Linked DNA regions of Solanum lycopersicum. The protein of the gene in region 3 binds, or shares a complex with, the protein of the main gene of each other region. Links are inferred from orthologs where the notes say so. Each region holds a gene or a part of one and is shown on either strand. Other genes may lie near its edges. The genes, in order: general transcription factor IIH subunit 2, general transcription and DNA repair factor IIH subunit TFB4 and general transcription and DNA repair factor IIH subunit TFB2.

Region 1 (10,027 bases), on a different chromosome or scaffold from region 3:
AATTAAATTTATATAATTAAAAGATATATAATTTAAATTTATAACATTAAATTTACGTTGATGTAGTTAAATTAAATTTATTATAAATATATATAATTTTAATTAATATATTCGACCTCTTAAGGTGAGTTTATATTAAAATTGATATGTTTAATTATTATTTTATTTAAATAATATCAACTTCATTATGTCCATATTTATTTGGAATAAAATGTTTATAAATATAAATAATTATTTTAAAAAAGAATGATAATCTCTAAAAAAAAAAATATCAACTTCATTATGTCCATATTTATTTGGAATAAAATGTTTATAAATATAAATAATTATTTTAAAAAAGAATGATAATCTCTAAAAAAAAAACCTTTTAAGTTTTAAGTCTCTCTTTCCCTTCTAAACCTCTCTCACGCCCACCCATACTCGACCCAACCCCGACCGGCGCTGCCTCGATCAGCAGCAGCAGGAGGTCGCGCTACCTTCCCTGACTCGATCGTCAGCAAGTCGCAGCAGCAGCAGCAAACTTCGGCAGCAGCAACAGAAAACTCTGGTAGCAGCACAAACTCCGGCAGATTAGGTAATGTAATCAAGCTCTTCTATTGTATCTTTTTATAGGGTTGGATTATATTATTAGTAGTATGTATAACTGGCGTTTGAATAAAATCAAAAAATAAGTGTCATCAATAGGTTGGGTTGGACAGATTGAAGGGGTCATTTAATTGAGTTTGGTTGTTGTTCAATGTGGATCCTTCGATTGAGTTTATACACATTAAAATTTGAACACTTTAATGTGTTCAATTGAGTTTGGTTGTTGACATGTTCTCTTTGATTTACTGTCAAGTGCCAAACTTTCCCCATAAGGATGTAGATTTTGGCAAGTTGGACAGTCAATATATTGAAAACGGTAAGAGAATGTTAAGTGCATGTTGAATTTGTGTCTAAACCAGTATGCTGTTGTTACATATTATCTATGTTTCAGTTGCTCTAATAAACTAACCAATACAACACATTCCCATATCATCATATACAATTCTACCTTCCCAATATTGGACAGATATACCAATAACATGTGTATGCCTTACAATTTGATGTCAATATTGATTTATAATACTGATTGTACTTTAGAGATCTCATATATGTACAACTATGAACTGAAAACTTGTGTTTGTGCATGGAATAAAGGAGTCTGCAAATACTTCAAGGTGTTGTAAACTCAGACTAAAGCACTGAATGGATTTGACTACATACTTCAATTGCATTAGTATTGCTTCTAGTAAAGTATAGCATCCAGTTGAATCAACTACAGTCTAAATGTAATAATCTGAAATTTGATGCAATATGAAGAGACTAAAGTTACAACTACAGTTTGGTTGTTGTTTATATACATTAAAATTTGAACATTCTTGTTGGAATTCTTGGTTTCTTAACCCCGGACACAATCATGGTAACATATACATTACAATAACTAGTGGAAAAAAGAGAGGAAGTATTGAAAATAGGAGAAACCTATTTTGAGTTATCAAGAAAAAGAAAAAACAACACAAACTTGTTTACTAACTGTCAAACGCTAATAATCACTAAAATCTCTCTATAATGACCACTAAAGAAATTTTCAATTGTTTCTTTTCGTGGTAGGCAACTAAGGAAACTCAACGTCTAAAAAAGTTGATACAAGACTATATTGCTACTTTAATTATAAGGTTTGGTGTTTCTAAATTTCTAAAGTTCAAGTACAATTGTTTTTTATGATGTGTTTGTGTCCATCTAGTGTTGATATTAAGCTTTAATTTAAGAATAATGTGTTTGTTAAGCATAAGCACTAACATTAGTTGATTCTATTTTCTTTTTTTTTTGCAAGATCAGTTTGTATCCATCTAGTGTTGATCTCAAATTTTAATTTAGGAATAATGTGTTTGTTAAGCATAAGTACCGATATGATATTTTAAATATCAAATACAAAAAAATTAAAAGATATATCAATATACAATGATATCAAAATCATGATATTAAAAATTTTGATATAGTATGATATTTTGATATATACCATACCATGTAAACTCCTAATTTGCGCCTCAAAGCATTTCTTGAACACTCAAATACTTGTCACAAAAATGCCTTTGAAAACACTGATTTAAAGAAGATACCATGAAAAATTCAATTGGTCCATAAATTCTGTAAATTCCCAAATAAGCCTTTTGACCTCAAGATCCTCTCTATTCACTCTTATGATATAGACTAGTTACAAAGAGCCCGTTCAATTGTGCAAGCACAAATTAAATATACATAACTTTATTTATCTCAATAAATTTTTATGTGAGTTTTAAATGTTATAAGTTGTTTAATTGTTGTAATTTATAATTTTTTTTATGTAATTTACAAATAATATATATAAATTTGTCTCAGTTTATGTGGTACAAGTGAAATTTAAAGAGTCAATTGATTTAAATTTCAAATTATTAATTATTATCATCATTTATAATACTATGTCTTTTGTAATTTCTAAACACATAACATACGAAAAAGAAAAATAAAACAAATTGAAAACTTTAAATATAAATCGAGAAAATCTTTATTTATAGTACAATTTTTTAATACATAACATACTAAATAAATGAAAACAAAGAAAACACACTACATATAAATAGTAGAGGAAATTCAATGAGAGTGTAAAAGTCACAACTCAAGTACATAGGGTTCATCAAGAATTGGTTCAAAACAAAGTGCGGATTCACTCAATCCCACATCAATCTCTATCTTCTAACCTCCAAGGTATTTTTCTCTAGTAAGTTTCTCCGTACCCTTGTTTTTTTTGGTTGTTAATTGCAATTACTCAAAGAACTTTGAATTGTTATCAAAATATTGAAGTTGGGGAATTAATTTTTGTTTAGTTAGAGGAATCTTATTGTAAGTATGTTTTGTTGACTTGAGAAAATCATTGGGATGGTGAAAGTTTTGACTTTTATCTAGTAGGGGAAAGAGAGTTCCGAGAATATTTCTAATTTTATGAATGCGAGAATTAATCTGTTAGTGTTTCTTTGTTTACTTGTTAGAATGAAGAGCATTTTCAAATTCCTTTTATCAACGAAAACCTCTGTCTTTTGTAGTCTCAATTGTTTTTTTTTACGTCTAGTTTCCTTGTACAAATATTATATGCATTTTCTTTATCAATGAAGCTTCCTCTCTTCATTTTTCCAAATCGTATTTCTACATTAACACCTAGCTTCCTAGCATTAATTTTTACTTGTGTCACTTAGATTAATACAACTACTTGAATCTTTAATCATCTACATCAGTTAAAATTATCTAGCTTAAGCACTTAAATCCCACCTAGTTTGAATTTGTAGGGAACCTAGTTGTGAACCTTGTATGATGCCTATTACTTTTCTTTTGAGGTGATTTGAACTCTTAATGATCTCAGGTTGTGGAGACTAGTAAATTGAATTATTTGCAATTAGTTGTAGTAATAGGTTCCCTAATGCGCAAGAGGGGTGTTGGAATGAAGTGGATTGAGAACCCTAAGGTCGTTGCTTCAAATCCCAGTAGAGACAAAAAATAAGGTGATTTCATCCCATTTGTGGACGTTACCTAGTACCTCTTGGTAAGAGGTACATGTATCCCATGGAATTAATTGGCCCGGACACCACAATTATATTAAAAAAATTAGGGTGTTCTAACACACCTTAACCCAGTAGGTGATAACTCTTCTCTTTAGCTCATTAAAAGAGTTGTCACATGTTGAAGCCCGCTTTTGCGAGAAAATGGGGCGTGACACACTTAGGGGGAAAAGTGAAGCATAGAAATAGCAAAGGACTAGGTACATATTGGAAAATAGTGCATGTAGTAAGGATGTGTAATGCAAGGAACTCAGAACACCTACATACAGTATCTTGTACTAATACTGAGTTTGTACAATTAGTTTCTCAAGTATCTGGTTATCTTATTAAGAGTTGGTATTATATCTAACAGGGAAATGAACACGGAAGAAAAAAGATTTAATCAAGAAGAGGAGGATGAGGAAGAAAATGGGAGAGGTCGAGAAGCATGGGAAAGAACTTATGCAGATGAAAGATCATGGGAGTCTTTACAAGAGGATGAATCAGGACTCCTTCGTCCAATTGACAACAAAACTCTATCCCATGCTCAGTATCGACGACGTCTCCGCACTGCAACTGCTGCACGAATTCAGAAGGGTTTGATTCGGTACCTCTACATTATCATTGATTTCTCCAGGGTATGTAAAATCCTGTATGATTGCAAAATAACTGCAGTATTGTAATTGGTTACTGACATTTAAAGGTTAATTTTTTTTTTTTTTTGCAAAATATGAAACAATTATTTAAGCATCTATAGTTATCTGTTTGTAAATGAGTTATCTCCGGAAGAAGTTAATCAGGTCCAATTTCCCAGACAATCTGCTGATCTTCTTCTGATGCTAGCAAATTGTTTCTTATGAAGGAACACAACAGGGTCCTTTTTAAAGAACCAGCAGCTCTTTGTTTTATGGATTTCTATTTGCATCTAGGGCTGAAGATTTAGTGATTGCAACTGGTTGATTATGCTATAAGATATTGATAAAACTAAGCAATTGGGTCGTCTTCGATCAGTTTAATGAATATTCAAGTGTATACCTACTTTCTGTTTTGATGTCACCATATTTCTTTAAACCACGTTTTGAAATTCTAAAATTGTGAATTGAGTTTATAAGACAATTATTGCATTTTGAAAATGTCCCTTAATTGGGTTGTGCTTATCACTGCATTGGACGTTTTCTTTTATCATTGACAAGGTGCTTTAACAGACAATCTTAAACATTTGCATGTAAGCCTCTGGCTGATAGTTCTCCTTTCAAGATGTCAGCATCCTTTTCCGTGACATTTTCCTAGTTTTCTTTTTTTCGCATTGCTCGAAAGTTTTTGTGAGCATTGGTTGCATCTACTTGATACTTTTCCTACATGCTTATATTCCGCAACACCCACGCCAACTTGGAAAGCTAGAAGAAAAATCAAAATGCTTTGAATACTAGAAATCTCGACATAATAGTAGAGACTTTTAGCGTTCATTTCAATTAAGTCTGGATGACTTTAAAAATGACTTTTTGAAAGAGAGAGAGAGACAGTAATGTCTCATAATATCTTGGACTTTTACATCTTTTGAGTTTGTAATTGCTCACCTGAATTTTGAATTTTAGGCAGCTGCAGAAATGGATTATAAACCAAGCCGAATGGTTGTAGTTGCTAGACAAGTGGAGGCTTATATAAGAGAATTTTTTGACCAGAATCCCCTGAGTCAAATTGGCTTGGTGATCTTGAAAGATGGAGTAGCTCATTGCTTAACAGATCTTGGTGGCAGTCCCGAGGCTCATATCAAGGCATTGATGGGTAAATTGGGGACCTCTGGTGATGCATCCCTTCAGAATGGCCTAGATCTTGTGTGTGATCTCCTAAATCAAATCCCATCGTATGGTCATCGTGAAGCCCTTATCTTGTATTCAGCTCTTAGCACATGTGATCCGGGGGATATACTGGAAACCATCCAAAAATGCAAAGCGTCCAAGATAAGGTGCTCAGTAATTGGTCTCTCTGCAGAACTCTACATATGCAAGCATCTCTGCCAAGAGACTGGTGGAATGTATTTTGTTGCATTGGATGAGGTAAGGAATTGAGCTCTGAAGTAGTGGTAATACCAGAACTTGTGAAACAAAAACTAATAGAATAAGGAAATCTTTTGCTGGAAATTTAGGATAAATTTGGTTCTAATAGCCTACTATGTAAAATGTCTCATTGAATGATATGATTAATAATATGTGGCAAGCATAATATTGTTAAAACGTTTTATGATTTGATTCGTTGTTATTGCTCTGTCAGCCTCATTTAAAAGAGTTGGTATTGGAGCATGCCCCACCTCCTCCAGCTATTGCAGAGTTCGCTGTTGCAAATTTGATTAAGATGGGGTTCCCCCAAAGAACAGCAGAGGGTGTCATTTCAATTTGTTCATGTCATAAAGAGGCTAAAGTTGGTGGTGGATACACTTGTCCGAGATGCAAAGCGCGCATATGTGAGCTGCCTACTGAGTGTTGCATTTGCGGACTGACCCTTGTATCTTCTCCACATTTGGCAAGGTCATATCACCATCTCTTCCCAATAAGGCCATTTGATGACGTTTCACCCTCAGCTCTGAAAGATTTTCACAAGTTACCAAAGAATTGCTTTGGTTGCCAACTGAGTCTTCTAAATCCTGGTAAGAGCACTCTTCTTATTTACAAAATCGAAACTATCTTGAGGTAAAATATTTATGCCGAAAAACAAGGAAATCTGTCTTATTTTTTTACTCTTCAAGATTATTCTATAAATAACCACTGAAGTGAATCTGCGATCCAATGAAGCACTTGGTCACACAATATATTTGTAAAAACGACTTGCAATTTTTTGGTTCAGAATTGAAACTTCCAGTGGTAAAAAAGATTCATGCCAAAATGATGGAATATGTCTCTCTGTTTGCTGTCAAGACTGCATCGTAAGTAACCTTTAGAGTGAATCTGGGACCCAAAGAAGCACCTGAGCTGGTATTCCTTATCAAAATAAATAAATAAAAATGGAACACCTGAGATTTGCATTTTCTTTTGAAACTGGTAACATTGTATTCCTCAGCATCCTTAATGCTGGCCATCAGTTTTGCAGATATTATCATTATCTATGTATATGCTAGGATGTTCGATAATTTGATAATTTTCAAGTAGAGTAGTTTATCAGATTAACCGTGGGTACATAACCCTGACCTGAAGCATCTGCTGTTGCTAAGGATGTCAATGAAGTTCCTTTCTTTCTTTTTTTTTTTTGAATTGGTAAAAGTTGTGTTCATCAGCATTCAGGGCTATGCTGGCCTCCTCCAAAATTTACAAAAGAGTCATGGATAGTTACAAGAAATAATATAAAATCCACTAATTGGATTTCTTCTATATTCTGTTCTTTACGCCAAAAATCTAAAGTAGTATGAAGTTCCTTTCTTTAAGTTCATAGCTGCAGAGAACTGTAGAAGGCATTTACATAATTGTTTGTCATCTGAGATATCTTGTATGTGCATTTTTCCGATTTGTAAAGAACGAACGAAAGAAAAAACACGCACTAATCGTAACTGAGCTTTTGCTGAACTGAAGCAAAAGAAATGTCTCTAGTGTTCTACAGAAGAAACAAGATGTTTAGTTTCTAGAGCTTAAATTATTCACGTCCAAGATAATAAGTCTTTTGTGTTACAATTCTGTGCTTCTCGCTGGTTGTATCTAATTATGTCCTTTGAGGACTGTTTTGAGGCAAAACTTCAAAGCAATGTTGAAATTTGGTCTTTTAAGGAAGTAGCCTGTTGAACTAAGTGTTTGTATTCAGTCAGATTTTTTTTTTTTTGCCAAATTTCTTGTAACTTGTGATGATATTAGGAAATTATTCTGTAAAATGAGTTGTTCTTGGACCAAACATTAATTGGGATCATAAAATCTGGAAAGGAAGCAATTTGTCTCTTCTTAATGCAAGTCCTAATTCATAGACAACCACTTAAAGTTCCTGCGGCTTTTCATTTAGACACCTTAATTGAAGCTGTTACGCAGCAAACACCTAGGGTGTGTTCGGTATGATGGAAAGTGTTTTCTTAGAAAATGTTTTCTAGGAAAATAAGTGGACTTCTTACTTTTTTTTAGATGAAGTAATTGATTCAATTCATATCGTCAAAAAGATGCAAAGTAGTTACAGAAGAGTGAGTGTGTTCGGTACGCAGGCAGAATTTTTTATCCGAAAAGCATTTGTATATAATTTGAACAATACTATGAGAGGTGAAGGTGAAGGGTAGGGTGTGCGGGGTGGTGGGTATGGGGGCTACAAGGGTGATGCTGAAGATGAGGTGTGTTGGTAAGTAGGAAGGACACTATCAATGTGGAATCTCACTTGTGTAACTTGTTTACATTTTCCAAACAATGTGTTCGTCCATACCGAACAAACCCCCTAATGAGTAATGTATATCTAAAATGTGCCTATTGAACACGTCATGCTTAGCTAGTAAAAAATAAAATGTGTGAGCTTACATGTGAGGATGTGGCAAATTAGCAAATTGAACAAAACCACGTGACTTTAGAATCCAACTAATAAAAAAAGGAAAAAGAAAACACTAGTTTTTGTATTCAGCCTGAATGTTTTTTTTTTCCGCCAAAGTTCTACTCACTTTTTTCTGAATCAGTCGATAGTATTAATTGAATTAGAGCAAATTTCAATAGTTCTGAAACAAGCTTCCACCACATCAGAACTTACAAAAAAGAACAGGCACTACTACTATAGCAGAAATATATACTCTACAGGAACCAATTAATAATGATGATGGAGATGTATTGCGGCCTTTTCCTGTTCATCAACTCAAACCTCATGCTAATTACACCATAGTTTAACCACCACACCAAGCAGAATCCCATATCCTTTACCAACATTAACATAACTGCTCTTCTTTTCTTGACAGCAAGACTTTTTCAGACAATTCAAAACTCAGAACCAAACCTCCCCTCAACCCCCAAAACCACAAAAAGTCCTGTTCTGTCTCTTGAGAGCATCCCGACAACATCCATAGCAGTCACCCTCTTCCTACGAGCATGCTCAGTATAAGTAACAGAATCATGAATCACATTCTCCAAGAAGATCTGAGCACCCCCTAGTCTCCTCATAGATTAGCTCACTGATACACTTCACTGCCCCTCTACATGCCAAATGCCTAATGGCTGACTTTGTGATTCAGTGAATGTTATCACAGAGGACCTTACAGTGAGTGTTAGGAATGCGTTGGAAGTTATTAATTCAAGTATTTAATTATTTATTTAGTGGCTTTATTTATTATTCTAGAATAGGGTTTATACTTCATAGTTTTATAAGGATTAGGTTAAGTTATAGTTATTAGTTTGGAATAGGATTTAGGTCTCCTACTTTAATAAGAATTAGAATTACTACTGATGTAATAAGACTCCTATTTAAAGGGGCTTTGGATGAATAAATCAGTAAGTCATAATTCAACAGAAATTTAAGAGATCAGAGTTCTCGCTTATAATGAATTCTAAGGTTTCAGTCTCCCTTTAACGAGCTGATTTATATATTGCCCTGTGAATGGATCCTTCCCTAAATATTCATAACAATGAGCCTTGCTCCTCCCTTCCCACGACCTGACATGTTCAGTCAACCTTTAGTTTCTCTGAAATTGGAAGCTTCTGAATTTTTAAGACTGTAAGGGAGACGATGATGAAGACAAATTTCTTGTAACTTGTGTGATGAATTAGGAAATTATTTTGTAAAATGAGTTGTGCTTGGACGGCACATGCTTGGGATAATAAAACCTGGAAAGGAAGCAGTTTATCTCTTCTTAATGCAAGTGCAAGTACCTAGACAACCTCTTACAGTTGCCGTGGCCTTTTATTTACACATCTTAATTGAAGCCGTTATCCATCAAACACCTAATTTATGTCTAAAATGTGCCTATTGAACACGTCATGCCTAGTTAGTAAAAATTAAATGCATGAGTTCACAAGTGATGATGTGGTAAAATGGAAAGTCGAACAAAGTCATGTAGATTTTGAATTCGACTAATTGAAAATGGAAAAAGAAACACTATCTTTAGAAAAAAAAACCTCCCACCTTGTCATCTTCCCAACCTCATCCTTCACTTGTCTGATTTCTCTCCAGTTCATTCCTCCATTTTCTTCCTTACCCATGAAAATCTCTCCATAAATTTGCTCTCGAAATACCTCAAAAAAAATAATAAATTAGAAATACGTCACTCTATTTTAAACAACACTAATCATGCCTATAAATATCAAGTCATCCCTACCTTACTCAGCTGCCCAACAGTACAACTAAACCTCAGTCCCAAGCAAGTTGCGGTCGGCTATAGAAATCCTCACTAACCATATTACTGCAGTTAAACCATCTCAGACCAACATTATATAAAGTAATAATAATAAAATAAAGCAATATAAAAAGTACTAGAAGTTCTCTATCTTTGCTACTGTCAT
Region 2 (10,513 bases), on a different chromosome or scaffold from region 3:
GAGTTCTGACTGTAATTCTGTGTTGGTTGATCCAAGGGATTCATAGTTGATATCTCTCATGTTTTTTCCTTTTTTTCTGGTTTACTATGTCCTTGCTTTCCACATCTTTAAGTAATGTTAGACCTAATTTTTGCCACAGGTATTTGGTAGCTGTTAATGTTATTGGATTTGCATATGCTGGATTTCAAGCATTTGATCTAGCACTAAGTTTGGCAACTGGGAAACACTTCCTCTCTTACCATATGCGATATCATTTCAATTTCTCAATGGATCAGGCAAGTAGTACCATTTCAACTGGTGTACTTCCATAAATCTGTGTTTCTAGTTTGAGGTGAAATTAGTAACTGGTATGGTTTGCTCTTAGGTATTCGTATTAGGCCCTTAGAATGTTGCTAGCAGGGAAGGGTGCAGAGTCTGGATTATTCCACCTCTATGTATTCAATTGAGCTGCTTATTTGAAGGAAAAATAGCATTTTTCAATGGCTTCTTTAGTCCTGGTTTTTTTTTATCTTTATGTAGATTTTAGTTTAGAGTCGTGCTCGGTCAAAAAAATAAAATGATTTTCCTCCCCACTCTGAGGCATATGATTTGGATCCTTGGGAACAGGTCTTAGAGAAGTAGATGGCTCAGCTCCACTAGGAGATGCGAAACTGTTTTAGTTCAGAGCTATTCGATAACTTCTTTCAGCTCTAGTGTTGAAGAAAAACTTTTCAGTGCCTCATCTAGGCTGAAGGCTTTAGAAAACCTAAGCAGGGTAGAATTATAGGTAGCTTACTATTCCATACAAGTGTGTGTTTGAGATGAGCTCAACAACGGAACACATTGTCATAACTTCCTAAAGATATTTGGACCCTCTCGTAAAGAGGGTTCAGCACTTGGAGAGCAAGAATTCGGGGCTGAATAACTTATGGATGAATTCATCATTAGGAAGGTACTAGATACTTTTCATGGAACTAAGATGATGAGTGATATTTGAGAATGAAATTTCACTTCAATTGCCAAAATTATCAAAGCGTACATTGGCCCTAGTATGTAGTGTGTATGGACCCTAAGATGTTGTGGTATGTTGCAGTGTTCATGACATTTACTCGAAGCTTCTCAAGTGTATAGTTTCTATTTAGCCAGTTGAAAACTTCTGGGTCAGTTTAGTTTATTGTTATTGTGCTGGTTATCTAGCTAGCTTTATTAGTCCTGCTACTGTTGTGTGTATATATGCTCTGATGATAGTCTTTTGTTCTCGTACCTGTGCAGATACTGGCATATCTTATTATGTCTGCATCATCTTCTTCTGCAACGAGGGTAGACGACTGGGCAACAAATTGGGGAAAAGATGCATTCACAGAAATGGCAAGTGCATCAATCGCGATGTCTTTCCTGGCTTTCATTGCTTTTGCCTTCAGCTCTATCATATCTGGTTATAGCCTCTGCAACCGTAGTTCCTCGTGATCTTGAAATGAGTTACAACTATATTCATCCATTGTGTAATTTTGAGAAATTACTGCAAGAAATATTTATGCCTAGTGGATCAGAAGTTGTACAGATGTAGTAAATAGATTTAGCTGTATAATAATCTCTTTTTTTCCCCACTCCTACTGCAGAGGAATAAAGTATACAAATCCGGTTGAGCAAATTGTATTGTAGAGTACGTGAAAAAAATAACGTCAAATATGCATATATTCTTATGGATATGGTATATGTTAAATCTATATGATGTATTGAACAGTGTGAATGTGAAACATTTTCATTAAGAGACATAATCAAATCTTGAGTTCAGGTAACAGTTTGATGTATTTGCAGTTTGTACCTTTTAACTTGTTTTGGAATTCTACTCAAATTTTCACTTGGACAATAACATTTTTATATTGGAAGTTCATAAAATACAGACAAGTTCATTAGAATCATCCTATGTATTCCTTCACCTAGAGAAGGAGATTCTTGACACTGGAAAAAGGTCAAGCTCCCTCTTTCCTTAATTTCCTCTTCCTGCTGCTGAAACATAGTCTAGTATCATTAGTCCAGTTTGGACTCGTCTTTAATATAACCATCTGGAAGTTCATATCATAAGAAATCTATTGAAACACAGTAGTGGCAATGGCCTGAGGTGTTAAATAGGCTTTAGGATTATCTATTCAACTACCATATGAAGTCCTCCTCTGATCCGAGGCTGAGGGATCCTGCTTTCGTGCCTCCCCAAAATTTGATCTGCATTTTATGGCATGAACTTAAAAATTAGGATACCCAAACTCAATGAATTGAGTTATCAGCGGAGTGAGTGGTTGAAAAACAGTTAGGATGCTACTACAGATAAACTTCTACAATATTAAAATGGAATCAAGCAACCCTTTTTCCTGTGTCTTCGGTTTTTGTCTGAAATGTTCTCAGGAAACAAGAAAAGAATCCTTAAAATGTAATGACAAGTTATCCATTAGCACTTACTAGGTGAGTGATGTTCATGTATCTTCTCTCAAGAAATTCAGATAGTTAACATAGTGCAAGGTAGGTAACATTGCCTCAGCTTCTATGTTTTTCAATAGGACCTTTTAACTGCACCTATTATCCCTATAATTGCTGTGCAGAGTTCAACCTTTCCAGAAAACTAGCAGATATTATGTCGCAAAACAAATAAGTGAAAATCACATAACTAGCATACACATTATTATGTCCATGCCACCCTTGTCCTTGTAAATAATATGAAACTATAACCAATAACCAATACTTCTAGTTCCCTTCTCGTATTTGGTGGGCGGTCTAGAAGGTGAGAAGGCTAGAGATTTTGAATGAAAACATAAGTGTACATAGATTGAAAATATGTATTTATCTTTTAGCGTTAGTGTTAAAACCTTGATGTAATGAAGCTAGGGCATGTAAATCATGGCAACTCTCCCTATTAGAATATAAGAGTGCTGTTCATTAGAATACCTCAACTCCTTGTGTGTACAGCAATAGAACTCCTAACTGATCAAAAAGTAACCAGTACTGACAGTAACATTGACATGATCACAAGTTCATGTGAACTCTTTGGACGGAACATTATTCTTAATGCAGCATAATTAATGAAAAAAAGAGAAGTTCATCAATGAGACACTTCAATAAGTTTATAATGAATACTCACCCGCAAGTTGAGCATTTCTTGTGATGCTTGCAGAATATTGATAAACAAACAGAGCATATGAAACCCATGTCAATCGTGTTTTTATGGCAAAAGCACCTGAAAATTAGTCGCACAACATAATCAGATGAGCAGCTATACTTAATGGAATGTAAAGGGGTGAAGAGTACCCAATACTAATTGGGGGCTAAATCCAAGAATTTGTAAGAATAGACTGGAAATTGGAGCACAGATTTATTTGAGTCCAGATAGGAGGAAATTCAATAAATACTCTACTTTTGCTATTAGTAGAGAATAGGTCTCCTTGATAAACATTGTTTTCTTTTTTCAGGATAAGTATCCTATCAAAAGCTGCACTCTCAAAAGTTAGTTGCAAGTTCGTAACACTCGTAATGACTCAAAGCTGGGAGTTGGGAAAGATATGGTTAAGACAAAATTAACAGATGATACAACAACCTCAAATAAGAAGATCCAAGGAGAATTTCTGTCTGCCAAAAATACGAGTGGATGATGAAAGCTTTTGTCTAATTGAAGTAAAAAAAGGTATAATAGGAAAGAGCTTTCACAATGCAAGAGAAAAGGTGGTACAACCATTCTTAAATGACATTGAGCTAGATGGATAAATCACTTAAGCTTCGTAGGTAATTTGAGACGATTCAAGAAGAATGAGATAAGCTAACACAACGAACTTGAACATTGACAATACAAAAAGTTGAATACTACCATCAAAAAGAGTGCATAAAATATTAGTGAGGATACATACCAAATATTATATTACCAGTTCATCATATGTGACATAACTTGAATAATAGACACACTAATCACTTACGATGCACGGAAGTCAACTCCAACAGGTCTGGGAAGTTGCAAGAAGCTCCGAGAATGTAAATCAGTCGCAAAAACTGTCTGTATTTATTACAGTCTTGTCAGTATTTTCAAACGGAAAATTAGATCTCAAGACAAGACATTCTACAAATAAAACATCTCAAAAATAAAACAAGGCATTTAACCATCTTACAGATCACACCAGGTGAATGAAAGCACAGTACACCAACCGCATCAGACAGAAATATGCAACTTGTTGATGTGAAAGAACATCTTGAATAAGAAATCAATTTCAATATAACTTCTGGTGTAGATACTGTATTCTAGTCGTGGAAGTGGTTTTAGCAATGGGTCTATTGCATTCCATGAAACGTGAACGAAATGTTGAAAATAAGGTCATACAACAATCACATCTTCATTCATGATATTATTATCTCCTACTCACAGAGACAAAGCATGAGAAGTTCACTATAGAGGGCAAAAGGAGAAGCCATCGGACTGCGGCAGTCCAGAAGACATTTGGAGAAGATTTTCTAAGTCCACAAAGAGTACATTGGTACTTTCAGTCATAGCCTTTTGGTTGATCACTGTATCTCCAACACCAACAATAGTAGTACATATATTAAATATTTAATACCAGATTTAAAATAGGTCAAACTTTTGGAAGGTCTTTTTAGTGTAAGCTCCTTGGAAACAAAAATTGCATACACTAAACAAATCAAAGTATAGTGACTTGTTCAACATGCTTACACATCAGATAGAAACTAATGTCTGAAGGCAGCACTGGAGACAACCGTAGATGTTCAATGTTGGATCCATGCTATTGACAAGTTAAAATGCTAAGCTAGAGACAACTTAGTATTTTTTTTGACAAAGAGAGACAACTTAGTATTAATAATTTTAATAACACTTACAGAGAGATATTGAAACAGTCCATCTGATACTTGGGGTTTCAAATATACACCACCAGTTATGTAAGAAGCCTGTTCCCAGATAGATATGCACCATAAGATCAGTGAGCCAGAAAATAACTCATGCTGAGAAGGAATAGATTTTCAACCAGAACTTTCAGGTATAGAAATGCTACCTGCTGAAGAAAAGCAGAATGCTGAGATCCTATTACACATGAATCAATGGGTACCTGCAATAAAAACGCATTGCATTTCTTAGAGTAGGATCACAATATGGAAATCTAAGTCCCGATCCCTAATTTTGAAAATTCTACATTTATGAAGACATGTGACAACTTTCTAATTAATCAAGAAGGAAAATTGAAGGAAAGAATTGTTAAATCCTATATACCATTGAACGTTGAGCTGAGAAAATTGAATTCATGACTGCAACATATCTGCAAAAAAAGAACATGTTTCAGCAGAGAACCTAACAATGAGAAGATTGTAGAAGCTGTGAAGATCCAACATACTGTCCCGGCCCATCTGGAGATCCATGCAGACACAATATCTGCCATAATTTCAAGCACATTTTCTTAGCATCAATATTCATATCCAACATAACAAAAACGGATCAAATTTTAAAGTATAAAACAAGAGAAGACAGATTTTTTTTTCCTAACAACTACCTTACTGATAAATGATCAAATTAACAAACACAAAAATGATGTAGTAATATCTGATAATATCACATTAAGAAATTGCCAATGAAATGGGACCAGAAATGGCATTTCATCGGGAATGCTAGTTTTTTCTTTTCTTGATAAGGATGGGAATGGTAGTTTCACTATACCATTGGATAAAAATTGCAGTACAAATAAATCAGGGCACATTGAAGTTTAATTGATGGTTTTGTTTAAGGTACATAAAACATAGAATAACTTAAAGTATTACCTCACCAAACCCCCTTAAATGCACCTTTGGGGTTAAGAAACACTATCAGAATTAACATGAAACGTAAAAGGCCAAAGAAATCACTGGAAAAAACTCGAAGTTCTTTTTCCCCTTGGACGAGAGATATTTCCATGGATAAGGTATTTGGCATAATAACATGTTATGCTTGTAAATGCTAAAGCTTACGATCCCAAATGGATCGACCAGGAAAATTTCACATAAGCATAAAATCTATAAATGTAACTGGATAAACAAAATAATACAAGTAGAAATTCTCATAACAAATTCCATCAATTCAAAATCCCAGAAGAACCCATTTTCAGTTTCTTGTAAAATAAGGAACTTACCCGAGGTTGTGGATGAAGAGGCCCTGAACGAAATACCCGTTGAATGTCTAACAGTGCACACAGGTCAAGAGAAACACTTCCTCTAAACAAACGTGAATGCAAAGCTATGCACAATAACAAATAAAAACCAGTGGCAGATATAGCTAATAGCTACGGGTTCAACCAAACTCAGTATTTTCAAATACGGAACATGAATACACAAGTAAGAAAAACTAAAATCTAACCAAAAAGATTAGATTTCGTATCTAGAATTTCAACAGTCAATAAATTCAGTGCTAAGAGCTTCAAAGAATAAACCTAGCAAGTCCAAATTTTGGTTCTGCATCTCAATAAAAATCATTAAAATTTCACTTCAATAAGAATATAAAAAAAACCAACAGACATGAACTGATTGAGGATACAGCACAAAGCCATAGAAAGTGCACCAGAAAGCAGCGAAAACCCAACTCCATCAACAGAGTCTTCTTGACTCAAGGACTCATCTTTATCCACAAAATCCTCCAGTTTCTCCAACAAACACTCAGCTCTTTGCATTGACGAGGTAGACGAATCGAATACATAATCACATGAATTGTACCCAGTTGCAATCACAACTACTTGGTTCATCTGATTCAGTAAAAGTATCGAATTCAAGAAAGCAAGAACCTGCATTTCCCCCATACATTCCAGCATCAAAATTCAACAAATGGAGAACACAAAACTATTCATTTTTTTTTAAAAAAAAAAACAAATTTTGGGTTTTAGGGGTCTTTACGTGTGATATGAATTTAGGGAATGTGAAGGCAGTGTTCTTCATTGAGCTCCAGAAGTAGGGATTTGTATCAACCAGAACCATCAATAGGCTCACATCGTCTGAAAGTATTCAAAAGAGATTAATTTTAACACATTTTCCTCTTATTCCACTAACATGTACTTATTGCATACTTCAGCTACACAGACAGAGAAGGAGACAGACCTGCGTAAAGCTTTGATGAAACCGGTGTCATGGCCGCCGGTGGAATAAACCTTAATTCACCGGTCAGGTGTAGAGAGCGTCGCCGATGCAATATACTGTCGGGCTTTGCCTTTTTACTTATATAATGCTTATTTTTATTGAATCATAACAGAAAAAGACTTCGATAATTAATTGTTAATAAAAAAAAACATCGTTATCATAACAAAAAGACAGTTTGGCCGAGTGGTCTAAGGCGCCAGATTTAGGCTCTGGTCCGAAAGGGCGTGGGTTCAAATCCCACAGCTGTCAATTTTTTTTACATATTATTTTAATTTTCCCTAAACCCAAACTTTTTACTTTATTATTTCTTATTTTAATTTTCCCCTAAAATCCAAATTATTATTTTTATTTTTTTAAAAAAAAATCCCTTTATTTTTAATTCTCTATTTTAATTTTCCCTACCTAGGAGTACTTATTATTTTTAGGAAAATTAAATACACAACTTATTTTATCACATTATTTAAAACTTTTACTATTTGAAAAAATTATAACTAGTCGAATAAATCACTTTGCGTGATATATGAGGATGTGAGCAATGTATCAGATAATCGAGATGCAACATATCTGAAACATAGATACGATGTATCGAAATGCTTTGGAATGTATTCGGATTCCACTATACTTAGGGAATTTTAGTAATTTGAATATAGTAAGAATGAAATATAATTAGCTATTGACATTATATAATTTGCGTAAAAAATATAATTTTTTTTTATTTTCCTCTAACCCAAATTAGAAGTTTCTTCGTTCCTTATTTTTTAAAAAATATAACTTTGTATAAAAACTATTTATGTTGATAACAAAGGGGTGCTAGGTTAGCAATCTTTAACATTGTTGAGACATAAACCCCAAGACTTTACACAAACACTCTGTTCAATCAAGAAAAACACAATACAATGGGTTCGAAACCTTGCTTCATTGATAAACCAGTAGTAAGTACAAACTTTTTTTTTTTCGATTTCTTGTGCCAGATTATAGTGTATAAATTGTTTGATGCAAAAAAGATTGTATTTTTGGTTTTGATTAGGTTCCTGGTGATGTTGTTTTAGATCTTTCCAGCATGACTAACCAAACGATTAAACTGGGTGGCGGCCTCCAACAGGTTTTTCCTCTCAGAGCTTTGATTTCTGTCTCATGGGTTTATAGATTTTTGTTTGTGGCTCTTGTATATACAAATATTAGCTTAAAAAAAGGTTCTTTTTATGTTTTATACACTGTTCTTGCTTTTTTTTTCTTTCTGGTAAGTGAGTTGGAATTTTGTTGTTCAGAGCACCAAGAAAGTTCCTTCTCACATTCAGGGAATACATTAATTCTCTCACTGATTTTGGATTATTACAATTTACTTGTTTGATACACCAAGAACTCAACATTTGTAGGCACATAGTTCTTGCTATTTTGAAAAAAAAATTTGTTCTTTTTCTCTCATTCTATATGTATCAAAAAGAGACTTAAAGCTAATGTATTCAAAGCTAGCTTTTCTTGCACTTTACCTGTATATGGTTATTTTCCTCTGTGGATGATAGTACTCTATTCAGCATTATACTTACTGTGGCTCTAAGTATAAGGAGGCAATGCATCAAAAGTTTATAATTTCTAACTGCCTTCAAGATAAATATATATGAGGTTCTATACATATTTTTCCCGTTTTGACAGGATCATGATGCTGTAACTGTCGTCAAAGCAGGTATTTTGAGATTTTCAAAGCCAAACAAGTACTGGATTGAAAGCTCACACAAAAGAGTGAGTGGTGCTATCTTTCTAGAATTATCCAAGTATCACTTCTGCTGTTATTTTTTTGTAGATTTTATTGGAAAATTCCAGTTTTGTTGCTTTTTACAGGTTGTTGGCTAATATTTTAATACGTTTAAAGTAACCTGAAACTATTTCTTTAACTCAGCATCTTCTCATGATTGAAACAGAGATAGTAAACTGCACTTTGGATTTTCTCACAGTGAAACTCTAAGGGAATGTATATGAAATTAAATAAAGCAGCATGTATTCACTGTTTAGGTTGAAATTTTGATTCACTGCTAGAATGAATGAGCCAATGTGCGTTATGGTGGATCTGCAAACTTTATATGTCCTCAACTATTGCACAAGTGAGTTAATGCTACTATATTAGAGAGTTAAAGGAAGATATCCAATTCAGAGTTGCAGAGGTCCTTTATGTTTTTTCTTTTGCTTAGTTAACTCGGCAAAAAACTTATAAAGGGAAAAAAGTATGAAATTACAAGGTTAAATGTATTGTTTTGAAATATGGACTAACAAGGGAGCTATAGTACTACCTTATCAAATAGGAGCCAAGTACTAATGATTCCATCAGTGACTACTCAATTCCTAGATTTAACCCTGCGATACAACTATTTTAGAAATAACCTTGTTCGGTGATAAAAATTAGGATAGTCTCTTCTGGTTGAATTGAAGTGTTGAACTTTTTTCTTTAAAGAATATCAAATTGAACTTTCTTTGATTTGCTGATCCGCTGTTATTTCTTTACAGTATATACCTACCGTGGGGGATGCTGTCCTTGGAATTGTGGTGGACAAAAGAGCAGATGTAAGCATTCTTCAGTATTTCAAAACTGTTACTTGTTCTTCTTATAATAAGCAATGCCACTGTTTATTGTGATAACCTCCTTATTTCGGTTTCTGGTGAATAGTTATGTCTACTTTGCTACTAGCCGTGCCCTTAATTCTACTTTCTGCAGCATGAACTCTCTAACAGCTGCACTTTTAAGTAATTGAGTATGTTATGCATTTAAGAACTAAATTTTTTCAGTATCTCACTATCCTTTTCTTTTTAATGAGTTTAAAAGTCAAAGCCAAGATGCTGATATTCCTTTTTTGATATATAACGACCTTAACTTATTAATCTCATCATCTTTTGATGAGTTTCCTTTGATGCTGTCAAACTATCCACTTCTTCTATTTGCTTTATACGAAAATAGTATAATTGGTGCTTTAACTGGGAGTTTCGTGCTGCTCTGATCTTTTGCTTTAGTGTGTCTTTCTGCTTCCTGTTTTTGATCAATCAGATCTATGGTGCACTTATCTAAGACATAATAAGCATCCAATATATGTTGCTCCTAATATTTGAGGGGATTTATGTGAGTTGTTGACTACTTAGTTTCATTTGTTACAGTTTGGTTGAAGTCAACTGTAGGGTTTTAGGTTCTAAACCACCATGTCTCTGGTAAGGACATATCAGCTGTAGTTGTGTAAAAAGGGAAGGGTAGTGATGCAAGTCTGCTGGGAAATAAGTTCTTTTTAGAGTATGTGTTATTGACCATATAGAATGACATTCATATTAATGTGGTGGCGAGTGGTGACTTATGTTGATCATTCATTATACAAAATTACATTCATTGAGGTAAAAAAGTTGGTCCAAAAAATTT
Region 3 (10,713 bases):
AATTGTCCTTCCCAAATGCAATCACGCCCTGTGTTTGAAATGCTATCGTGAATGGTATGTTTAATTTTGCAGTTTGTCTGAGATAGAAGATGTGTGTTAAGTTTAACTACTATATTCAGATCTCTATCATCCCACGCCAACTCTACATTTCCTTTGCACTCTTTCTAACCCCCTTCATACACTTGAATGTTCACAGAACAGCTGTCGAGTGCTTCCTGGTGTGAGGTTCTGTGGGTGGTCCCTCTATTAGGTAGTCTAGCTCTATTTATCAGGCCAGCTATTTAAAGACGTCTAGGGCAGGAACAAGTTAATAGCTAGGTCTGGGTTGCTAAAGGGTAGGTCAGTATTTACTTTCTTGTGTGCATGTTAGCCACATAACTTAATGATACAAAAGTCTTTTTAGTAAGCTGGACCGTTTGTACCTTAGTTTTTGAAATTCATTATAGAGATGACTTACTTAGGAAAATGGCTGCATCTGTATCTCCCCTTCCTTTTGTAGTTGGCAATTTAATAAACTGCGATAAATGCTTCAGATAGTGTCAAGTTTCCCTGTGTCACAGTATAGTTAAGCAGAACATGGTAAAAGGGAGCTACTTCAAGTGATATAGCTATATAGCTTAGGCTTGTCTGCTTACATTCTTCTTTATTTTTTTCGTGTCTTTTATGATGCAGTGGGCATGTGCAGGAGAAGTGCACTGTCCTAAATTGTTACTATTATTTCATTTTATTGAGTGAGTATTATCAGTGTTAAGCTCTATATAAACTAGCAGTCATCATCTGAACCCTCTGTATTTAGGAAACATGTTACAGCCAGAGCCCAGAGTGTTATTTTCCTGCTAATCAGTAACTCTGAATTGTCTGAGAAGCTGGAGTGCATCTCTGCTCTTTTTATCGCCATAGTACCGGGTTTCAGTGTCATCATTTGAACATACTGATCCGGGATGTTTTAGGAGAATTTCCCCCTGTACATGGGTGCATGGGGAACATCACTAATAAATAGTCAGATGAAAAATTGGTGAATTAATTGCGAAAAGGCAGACCTCCACCTCCTAACTAGCCTGCCAAGTTTTTTTGCGTGATTTTGTACAATATAGAGATCCTGCAGGTACATAGATTTGCCGCTATTCTGCAGATTGTAGGGGCTATTCACACAAACATTGCAGCTAGGACTAATTTCTTAGTCCATGTTAATATGCTTCGTCCATTTAACCGCATTTGGAGTTGACAATAATATTAGGTAAAGATATCTCTACAGTCCTAGGTTGCCCCATGGTCCTCTAAAGCACTAGAGGAGGCATAAAGTTGCTGCTGGATATAAGTTGCCTCTCCATTTGGGGTGAAGTAAATTTGGTCCTGCTATATCTTATTCAGCTAATGAAATGAAATGGGGTAGTACTATATTCTGGCGCCAAATTGATGGAATCGCGTCTTACAACCTTTAGCAGCCCTTGTGCACATAGCATCTTTCGTTAGCAGGGTACGGGGAATGCCACACTTCCAAGGGGTGTTATGTTGACAACCTATTAATGGACACATTAGTGGCTGCTTCCACGCCTCAAAGTGTGACCTATAGATCACATGGAGAGAACTTTACCGTTGTGTCTTACAACCTAATGGAAAATTATTAAGAGGGACGGAAGGGAAAAAGCACTGTGGTGCATTTTTGCATTCTGAGTATGTTCAATTGATTATAAGCTGTAGCAATCTCCTAAACAGGAAGTATTCGTTATTATCAAGTTCCTGTGGCAAGCTATATATGGAATTTAGTAGTACCATCTTCTCGTTAAGGGCCACTTTGGGGAGAATAGCAGCTCTTGGTGGTGGTCAAATACTTTCTTTTTTGGGTCAGTATTGCACTTGTTTCTACTAGGGCGTCATACTTTATTACTCTGCAAAATATGTATATTCAGCATTATGTCTCCTTTCTGTACAGCTAATTTTGCTCGTACAACTACTCACACTGAGAGTTATCTCATACAATGCATTGCAGGCGTTCAAGGTCACAATCCTGCCCTTTTTGCCGCGATAGCCTTAAAAGGGTTAACTCCAGTGATCTGTGGGTATACATGGACAACAAAGACATCGTGGACATGTCAATGATAACAAGGGAGAATCTGAGGCGGCTATTCATGTTTATAGATAAGCTACCCTTGATCGTGCCAGATAATGTTTTTGATCACTATGATACTCATATAAGGTAGATGATCAATGCTTCCATTGGGGGATTGAATCATACTAAAGATAAAGTAATTGGTCTCGCTAGATTTAGAAATGCAGGTGGATTACTTTATCACCTTTCCTGATTTAGAAGAACCCGACCGAGTCATTGTGGTGCAGGGGTTGAAGCTAAGTTAGATAAGATTAGCCAAAAAAAAATGGAGCTTTTTAATTGCATCTCCTAATTTGTACATGCCTGTACAGTTCCAGTTTTACTTCTTGAAAACACAATTGTTGTTTGTTTTCTGATCTTCAAGTATGCCATGAATACCAGCATTTGAGCTTTCTCAAGTGCAGAGTTGTATGGTTGCTATTTATAAGAATGTATAATATATGATGTATTTAGTTTCCAATCTGTAATTTTCCCTTTTTCTGCAAAGCATTTGAAGTAAGATAGTGCTGTTAAATTTTTACTTAGGATAAGAAATGGTTCAGAAAATGAAAATGTTCGCAAAGGATTTTCATTAGGAGAGTTTAATATATGAAGAAGTCCAAAGAAGTTCAACATGCATAAACAATGTAATATCATTGTTCATTGTAATAAACAAAAATGATACCACTCAAAAACATAAAAGTTGCAAAACTCACAATCTTAATTATACATAAAATGGTCTCATCTGTTTCTGATTAACAAAGCTCATTCTTAAGCAATTGGAGAAGCTACATAGCATATTTTTCCATAAAGGATAACTTCATTCACTTCAACTTCTGCAGACTTCAATAACATAATAAGCCAAAAAGAGAGGTTTCAAGATTTCATAGTTTTACAAAGGGATCAAACCAATTGTCTTCCAAAACTCAAACATTCTTGTAGGCAGAATGTGGTTCAATATGAACTGGTTCACCAATAACATATGGATACAGAGGATTTGGAGGCAGTTGCGGAGGGCGAAGAAGTGGAGCTGATGGTTCTGCATATTCACCTTCATACTCATGACTATTTTCCTTAACTTGCCCAAGAGTTCTTAGAATTGTAGCCAATAAGATACAACATCCCTGCTTATTATGCATTAAGAATCATGTAACTAATTTGAGCCAAGTAAAACATAGTGAAGTTCTTGGAGGTGGGGTTGCTTTTATTTCTTACCTGTGTTAGAACACAAAGCAGGGTAATCCATTGGCAGACATCGCTATTCGAGTCCACAAAATCCTTGAAATCATCAAACCTTCCTGATGGATCTTCAGGCAAATCCTGATTCAGGTAAAACACAGTGAGAACATTGGAGAGAAGCAATTGTCCAAGCTTTGGCAGGACAGAGAGTTATCCGGTACATGTGTTGGTGGTATTGTTATATAGTCTGTAACATATTAGAGGTTTTAAATTGAACAAAAACATCTGTTCGTGAAAGAACATGAAGCAATATCTCTTTAAGAAAAGTCTATTCTTTCGCGCCTCAAAGTCATTTCTTCTTCAATTATATTTTTCCCATTTTTACAACACAAGGTTGTTTTGTTGATGTCTTGATCAATAGAATACAGAGAGATAACTTTGAATATAACAATATGATAAAAGATAACTTAGATGTAAGATGCATACCTTCTCCCAATCAGAGTTCAAGAAAACATCAGCTGTAATTGCAATCTCTGCTAAAAGAAGCACAAATATGAAGAACATATACTATAAGTATAGTTAAGGTCCATTTTTGTTTCTCTCAATGCAGTTTCATTTAGGACCAAAAATAAATTTACTCAAAGACTATTTTATATATGAGAAATATAAAGAAAAAAGGATACAAATGAGAGGCAATAGGAATTGGCAGTGCTTGCTGCAACATGACCAAGGAAAGTGATTGCACACAAAGCAGTGCCAACACCAAGAAATGCATGGATAAACCTGTCATTGTTTCGCCACTGTGAGTGTTAGCTTCGTTGGAAAATTATACTGTATTTGTAAAATAAAAAAGAAAGTTAGATAACCGAACTCACCAAGGAAATTGAGCATAATCAGGGGATGAGGGTGAGTTGGCAGCATCGCGCTGCCAAACTCTGATCATCCATACACCATAGATGAGCATTGCAATGCCCATAAATCCTATTGTTATGTTTGTGATCTTGAGGGATAATCGCAGGTAACTCTTTACAAGTTTTACCATCTTGAATTTTAAACAGGAGCTGTTTCATTCACTTAGGAGGGGAAATAGAAGAGCACTTGCTAGGTAAATTGTTGTTATGTTTTTAAGGGTGCTTGGAAGAGTTCATTAGAAAGCATATTGATGTGATTTATAACTGTTTAGATTGTTGATTTTTTTAAAAGAAATAATAGTGATGGTGACATGCCTAGATATGCAAAAATTTCCCCAGATAGGCTCAGAAGAAATTTCCAAGAAAGAGCTTATTTTTGGAGGACCTACTGAATTATGAGTTGCTTGATTTGCTTATATAAACCCAAAATGGATCTTTGTCCAAAGATGTGGTCAAGGATAAGAACAATCTAATTTAAATTTTTCATGATAACAACATCCCAAGATTTTAAAGTAGAGATGGGGATGTATAATTGACAAAATGATTCTATGTAGATATTATGTTTATATCCACAACTAGTTGGAAAAGATAAAAGATCATAGTCATAGCAATACATAATATTATGTTTGTGTAAACCCAAACAGATTGACAAGGCTCTTTTAGGCTATCAATAGTTTTGACGATGATTTGTAGTCCCATTATTAGTACAACATCACAAGGTGTCGAAAGAAGGAAATCGAAGCACAATGAAATACAATACACCCACAACAAAATTCATGTACAAGTTAAGTTGGGAATAAATATATAGATGGACATAACTGATGAAACCCTTCATTTAAATGAAGACAGTATGCAAAGAAGAGTTATTGCTTTTGACGACGAAGAAATTCCTTCATCTCGGCTAAAATATCAGCTTTAACAACGAGACGCATGCGCTTAGAGTCCTCCCACAGTAATCCTCCATATTCTCTGGCAAAATCACAGGCAGCCTCAAAGACATCCTAAAAGTAAGCAACCACAATCATGTTACGCAAACAAACATATTAAAAAGCGAAGTTTAGGTTGCAATGCAAATAACATGGTGCTTGATACCCACTTTAGAAGGGAATTCATCGTAGAAGTGGGCTGGCGTCATCTCAACCCGATTCAGATCAGATTCCCACAATCTAATCTGTGGCATGAGAAAGTGGCAGTTGAATAAGTTAGTTGGACAAGAACTTATTTTCCAATAAATCTTTTCATAAGTTATATCTCTGTCAATGGATTGTTTGAATAGACTTTGGTCCGCCATAATTTTGGCAACGTGTGCCTAGTCAAGAACAAATTCTACAGGAGTGTCAATTAAATGTGGTGCAGTTAGAGTAATATTTGGTTTCTAAAGCTATCTTTCAGTTTCAACGCTATGAGAAATAGTGAAGGAACCTGATCAGTAACATTCTCCGGCACAGATGGTATTCTCTCGGCAACCCTAGGATGTGCATTCTGCTGAAGGAAAGAAACTATCTGCAATCCATGCATTCAAATCACAACAGCAGTCAAAACTTAACTACAAGCAAAATAAATTGTAGAGTAGCTGCTCATTTGTGTTGTATAATTACATCCGTACAGAATACTTCATAGTATCACTTGAAACATTTTTGACTGACGAATCACCATATGACAGATTGTTCCTTTTTGGGGGGACCATGACATCTAAGTCAATGTATTTTGACAACTAAGGATAGGATAACTGGAACTCAAATATAACCAGTCCAGACAACTCAAGCAACAGTTTCCATTATGTCATATTTAACTCTTTCTACTTCATACAAAATATTTAAGTGCGGTACTGCAGTAAGAACTTTGGCACCAGAAGCACAATAGGCTCACTAATTCCATTAATGCATTCAAGGGTGTGCTAATTTTGAAAGGTGTGTAACTACTATTAAACATGATAAGTAGATTAAAGGACCAGAAACAAAACTATAGAAGGACCTTTTCTGAGAGGAGTGCAATTAATCAACATCTATCAATTAGACCACAATAAGTAGCTGATGAAGAATTACTAAGAACTTCCAACAAAAATGTCCCACATCATCAATCTTTGTCAACGTTTTGCTTTTATACAAATATAAGCATTCCACACATCATCAAAAAAAAAATCTTCAACAAATATAGCAAGCACTCCATATACAGTTGCTTTATTAGATAGTTTTTTAGTTAGTTGTCTCTGATACAAGACAATGCTGGTCAATAAATAAATAGCAGCTGAAACTTGCCTGCTCAGAAGTAATGCCGTTTTGAAAAGCTTTATATAAACTCTCTTTATTAATAGCACCAACAATGAGATTTGGAAGCTGGTATTCCACCCTGTATTTGCAGCTAAAATTTGTTACTTAGAAATCTAACCACAAAAGTTGATGAAAGAAATCTACTACTAGAAAATATACACTCAACAGCCAAACACAGAGTATTAGGCATAACCCATGAATAATTGGACAAGTTCTTATCTCAACTCGCAAATGATACAAGTAATGCATTTCTTGGCAAGCACCAGACTAGTGTCAGATTTGATGGTATTAATTCCAACAAAAAGTAGCAACAGAGTCCAGGTAATGCTATCAAGAGGAGAGTTAGCACCTGTTCTTTCCATATGATCTCTTTTCTCAACCAAACTACAGAAAAAAACACAAGCAGCAGCAGCAAATCGTTTGGTACCTTGCAAAAAGGCGTAGGATCTCACAGTGCAATTTTGATGTTGAATATGCATACAGTCTGAAGTTTGTTTCAATAACGATAAAACCCTGATGAGTGTGGGTGGGAAGGCAAAGATGCATTTGCAGTCAGTAAGGTATCATTGAACTCGTTTCAAACTAAGCTATCTTTATTCTTACGGTTTTCTTATAAAGCAAGTGTATACAGAAATTTAGAATTTTATGCTTCCTGTCATCCAGATTTTTTTATTTATTTTTTTTCATTATCAAAAAAAATCTGGATGACAGGAAGCATAAAATTCAAAAATTTCTGTACACACTTGCTTTATAAGAAAACTGTAAGAACAAAGATAGAAAACAAATAAATAAATTGGATTTCTGTGTAACTAGACCCAACTACTCTAGGGAACACTTGCGAGTGCAGCATACCTGTTTCCTAGTAGTTGTATCCGCTAAGCTAATTGACAGGTTGGTCGCCAGTTTGGTCGGAATAAACCAACTCTCTTTCCTTCCCTAAACAGCATCAAATGGGTAATTAAGAACATAATAAAAAAGACAAATCTTTTCACTCTCGTGAGCTCATTGATGGGGCAACAAGGAGTATTCACCTGCTGCAGCTTGACCAATCCCAAATCTGAAAGGTCCTTAATTATACTTCTCTGGAGATCAGTTATTGTGTTTGTATTGTATGCCTATATCAGAAGAAAATTCAACAAACATACGAAACTTGAGCATACTGAAGAAATGAAGATTACAACTGTGTGGTTGGGAAAATGGTTGAAAGACTTCGTCACAATATTTTTCAGTTTTTCAAATATTGTTTTTTAAAGTCAAAGTACAAAACTTTCTGCAAAAACAAATTCACCACTTTTCAACCAAACATCTGAGTGCTCCAGAACCAGAACTAACTAAAATTCAAGCATTTAGAGTTCAAAAGATGGTATCATTACTACAGCTCCAGGACAAACTTAATTCAAGAAGCTCTAGAACTGTCTAATAATACCTTGCCAGTAACATGAAAGCTTAGCTCCAAAAGAAATGCAATAAGATCTGCTGAATCCACTCCTCGCTCCTGCATTAATATGAAAAATACAGAGTAATCATTTAATATCATTAAATTGTCCAAAAGTTATACAAATAGAAGTCCATACTAGACAATCCAAATAATGGTCATAGGCACAATATCTTCTCAACCAAAATCTTAAATCAAAGAAAGAATATCTTCTTGATTCTTGCTTGTATTAACTAATTTAAAGAGGTAAGGAAACAAGGAAAAAGTGCCTAAAATATGTTATCAGCAACGATAAAATCTAAGGTGGAACTAATAAGCTCAACTCAACTAGGTTCCAATCCCCAAACTAATTGGGGTTAGCTATATGATCTTGTATGAAACGCCTGTATCCAATCTGCACATTTTTTCAGTATTCAAAATAGTTTGACTATTGCTACATTCGCCACCGGTTTCCCTCAACTCTCTTCCTCTATTCAGGCTTGGGAATGCTTTCGCTTTGACGACCTTAGAGAGGCAGAGTAGGTGATATAATTATAGCAAGCTCTACAAAGGCCGAAGCTGCATCTCTGAAAATTCCTCCCTACCTATCTCCAAAGTCTATCAGAAGACTAGCCGCAAAAGTGAGGGATAAGCAAATGTCAAATGTAACTGAATTACAACACCACCCAATGAACCAATGGAGCTTGAGACACACATACACACACATGCAGGGAGAGAAGGAGGTGGTCAGCAATACCTCAGCATTTGTTATGTACTCCCTGATGATGTACCAAAGCTGTGCATTTGTGTCCATTAGCTGTAATATGCCACCAGTCAATACAATTTCCCAACAAAAAAGAACACTAATTGATTCAGATAATTCAGTAAATCGTACCAAGAATTGGAACCCACTTTCAGTCAACCTTGGAGGTTCTCTATCGTCTCTGCTTAAGAAGGCATGAACTCATGGAGATTATATCGATTATTACAAAATCATAAATACACATGAGGACAAAGAACTATACATATGTTTTCTGCGAGTAAATATATATCCATAACACTGAGGTGGACGTACCTCTGACTTAAAAGTCCACGCTGGAAGATTTTCATCATCGAAGAGCTTATGTTTGTGGTCTTTCCAGCTTCACTGGAGCTTATAAGGTTCAGCAGAAAGCACTGGTTGCGACAGTTGCAAGTCATAAAAATAGTTGCCAAAATTATATTCAGGCTGCAGTTTGATCAAGACCGAAAGAAAAGCAGATTGTCTCACAACATATTATTACACATTCTGAACGCTCCTGGAAAATCAACGGATAAGAACTACTAACAAAATGCAAGTCATACCTCCCATTGTTCGACAGCATATGCCTCTAACTCCTCCAAGCTAGGAAGCCTCACAGTGATATTAGAAGGCATTGGTTCCCTTGGTAAGACTCCACTACAGTAATTGAAATCACATATTATAGTGCAATTACAAGACCAAGGTTAAGACAGATATTTCAGCATCATGTAGAAGTATTACCACAACAAGTTACTGTATCAAGTTTAGCATCTTATAGGTCAACTGAGGGTCAAATGTATCAGGGTCAAATTCTGAACTTGAGCCCAATTAGAAATTTAGCAAGACAAATCAAGAAGTCATATAGGATGAATAAAATGGAACATATACACAAGTGTGAATATACCTACAACAACAATAATAATAATTATGCCTCAATCGATCAATCCCAAACTAGTTGCAGTCACCTACATCAATTCTCTATATTAACTCAACTCAATTTGGGCCAACTTTATTCAAATATGCAAATGAGTAAAGAAATCGTTCCTTCGAGACGGGGATTAATAGGCCATGAATCTGGTGTCTAGACGCCAAATGTCATTGACTAGTACTTCTACTAACTGTACATGTACTTTCATTTTTAGATCACCCATCTCAGAGAGGGCTGGCCAGTAGTGATCATTAACACCTACAGAGAAAATAACATAAATAAGATAATAAAGCTTACCCATAGACTATATGCTTCTGAAGATTAAATTGAAATTTTGGGTTTAGTTGATACATGGCTTCCTTTTTCCTGTAAGAAATCAAAGAGAATGGCAACGTTCAACAATCAAAAACTGACTATAACAACATGCAAAGATATTGTGGATCACCCTGACCAGATTTCGTCATTCCAATAGTTGAGACATGATTTCTACTACCTAAAACTTCTATAATGCTTATAAAGAGCAAAACTTAAAAGGAAAAAACAAAAGAAAGATCAAGCATTAACAATTCAAGATATTCCCTTTAATCATGCTTTTGCTTATTTTGACCAAAGTTCTAACTTTGCTCATGTGTATTTAAAGTGCTAAGTGAAAAACATGACAACCAGATAGGATCAAGCGGGAAAAGTAAATACAGACCTCTATATAGCATCCGCCTCCGGTTGAGGAGGAAATTTAACAACAGGCAGTGACTTTGTATTCCATTAGAGATAAAAACTCCATCTTGTAAGGGTCAAAATTCATTGATAATGTACAAGCATTATTTAATTTTGAATTGCTGAAATATGATTACTTCTGAGATTTTAAATTTAACAAGTTTATCCTCTTTTCTCACATTAAAAATTAGATTTTTTGCATCTCTTTTTTGCTTATAACAACCAAATAAAAATTTAAGTGTCAAATGTTGTTATAGGTCAGCGTTATTCAAGACAAAAATATAGCAGCTATCAAGAGAGAAGAATCTGCTCAATAACCTGTCAAATGTTTCTGTCATTACTCTCAGCTGTATCAATCTATCAATGGCAACTTTATGCTTTGAGAATCCATCTGGAAGCACCCACTCCTCCATCGACTTGGCTGTAA

Evidence for each region.
Region 1: general transcription and DNA repair factor IIH subunit TFB2 (region 3) and general transcription factor IIH subunit 2 share a complex: the UniProt entries of both Arabidopsis thaliana proteins name them as parts of the 7-subunit TFIIH core complex. The link is inferred for Solanum lycopersicum from reciprocal best matches to the Arabidopsis thaliana genes AT4G17020 and GTF2H2.
Region 2: general transcription and DNA repair factor IIH subunit TFB2 (region 3) and general transcription and DNA repair factor IIH subunit TFB4 share a complex: the UniProt entries of both Arabidopsis thaliana proteins name them as parts of the 7-subunit TFIIH core complex. The link is inferred for Solanum lycopersicum from reciprocal best matches to the Arabidopsis thaliana genes AT4G17020 and AT1G18340.

What each region holds. Positions count from the first base shown.
Region 1 is NC_090803.1:54,335,799-54,345,825, reverse strand, and holds the start of general transcription factor IIH subunit 2, read left to right. Parts: upstream 1-339; 5' UTR 340-574; intron 575-1,632; exon of another isoform or gene 1,633-1,697; intron 1,698-3,963; 5' UTR 3,964-3,967; coding exon 3,968-4,228; intron 4,229-5,185; coding exon 5,186-5,647; intron 5,648-5,861; coding exon 5,862-6,234; intron 6,235-10,027. UniProt on the Arabidopsis thaliana protein: Component of the general transcription and DNA repair factor IIH (TFIIH) core complex, which is involved in general and transcription-coupled nucleotide excision repair (NER) of damaged DNA and, when complexed to CAK, in RNA transcription by RNA polymerase II.
Region 2 is NC_090805.1:46,427,237-46,437,749, forward strand, and holds general transcription and DNA repair factor IIH subunit TFB4, read right to left. Parts: upstream 7,196-10,513; 5' UTR 7,112-7,195; coding exon 7,081-7,111; intron 6,978-7,080; coding exon 6,880-6,977; intron 6,771-6,879; coding exon 6,527-6,770; intron 6,173-6,526; coding exon 6,126-6,172; intron 5,396-6,125; coding exon 5,358-5,395; intron 5,283-5,357; coding exon 5,237-5,282; intron 5,076-5,236; coding exon 5,022-5,075; intron 4,918-5,021; coding exon 4,849-4,917; intron 4,016-4,848; coding exon 3,939-4,015; intron 3,209-3,938; coding exon 3,113-3,208; intron 2,203-3,112; coding exon 2,130-2,202; 3' UTR 1,835-2,129; downstream 1-1,834. Other genes in the region: CASP-like protein 4A3, read left to right, coding at 140-275, 1,252-1,446; uncharacterized protein, read left to right, coding at 8,016-8,051, 8,147-8,221, 8,773-8,859, 9,619-9,675. UniProt on the Arabidopsis thaliana protein: Component of the general transcription and DNA repair factor IIH (TFIIH) core complex, which is involved in general and transcription-coupled nucleotide excision repair (NER) of damaged DNA and, when complexed to CAK, in RNA transcription by RNA polymerase II.
Region 3 is NC_090801.1:59,308,603-59,319,315, reverse strand, and holds the end of general transcription and DNA repair factor IIH subunit TFB2, read right to left. Parts: coding exon 10,605-10,713; intron 9,939-10,604; coding exon 9,870-9,938; intron 9,302-9,869; coding exon 9,208-9,301; intron 9,040-9,207; coding exon 8,939-9,039; intron 8,808-8,938; coding exon 8,759-8,807; intron 8,681-8,758; coding exon 8,621-8,680; intron 7,945-8,620; coding exon 7,876-7,944; intron 7,565-7,875; coding exon 7,481-7,564; intron 7,386-7,480; coding exon 7,302-7,385; intron 6,963-7,301; coding exon 6,877-6,962; exon of another isoform or gene 6,529-6,876; coding exon 6,438-6,528; intron 5,683-6,437; coding exon 5,602-5,682; intron 5,506-5,601; exon of another isoform or gene 5,489-5,505; coding exon 5,276-5,488; intron 5,181-5,275; coding exon 5,043-5,180; 3' UTR 4,825-5,042; downstream 1-4,824. Other genes in the region: abscisic acid-insensitive RING protein 4-like, read left to right, coding at 1-54, 1,717-1,844, 1,991-2,100; tetraspanin-19, read right to left, coding at 3,016-3,213, 3,305-3,409, 3,755-3,835, 3,952-4,051, 4,144-4,310. UniProt on the Arabidopsis thaliana protein: Component of the general transcription and DNA repair factor IIH (TFIIH) core complex, which is involved in general and transcription-coupled nucleotide excision repair (NER) of damaged DNA and, when complexed to CAK, in RNA transcription by RNA polymerase II.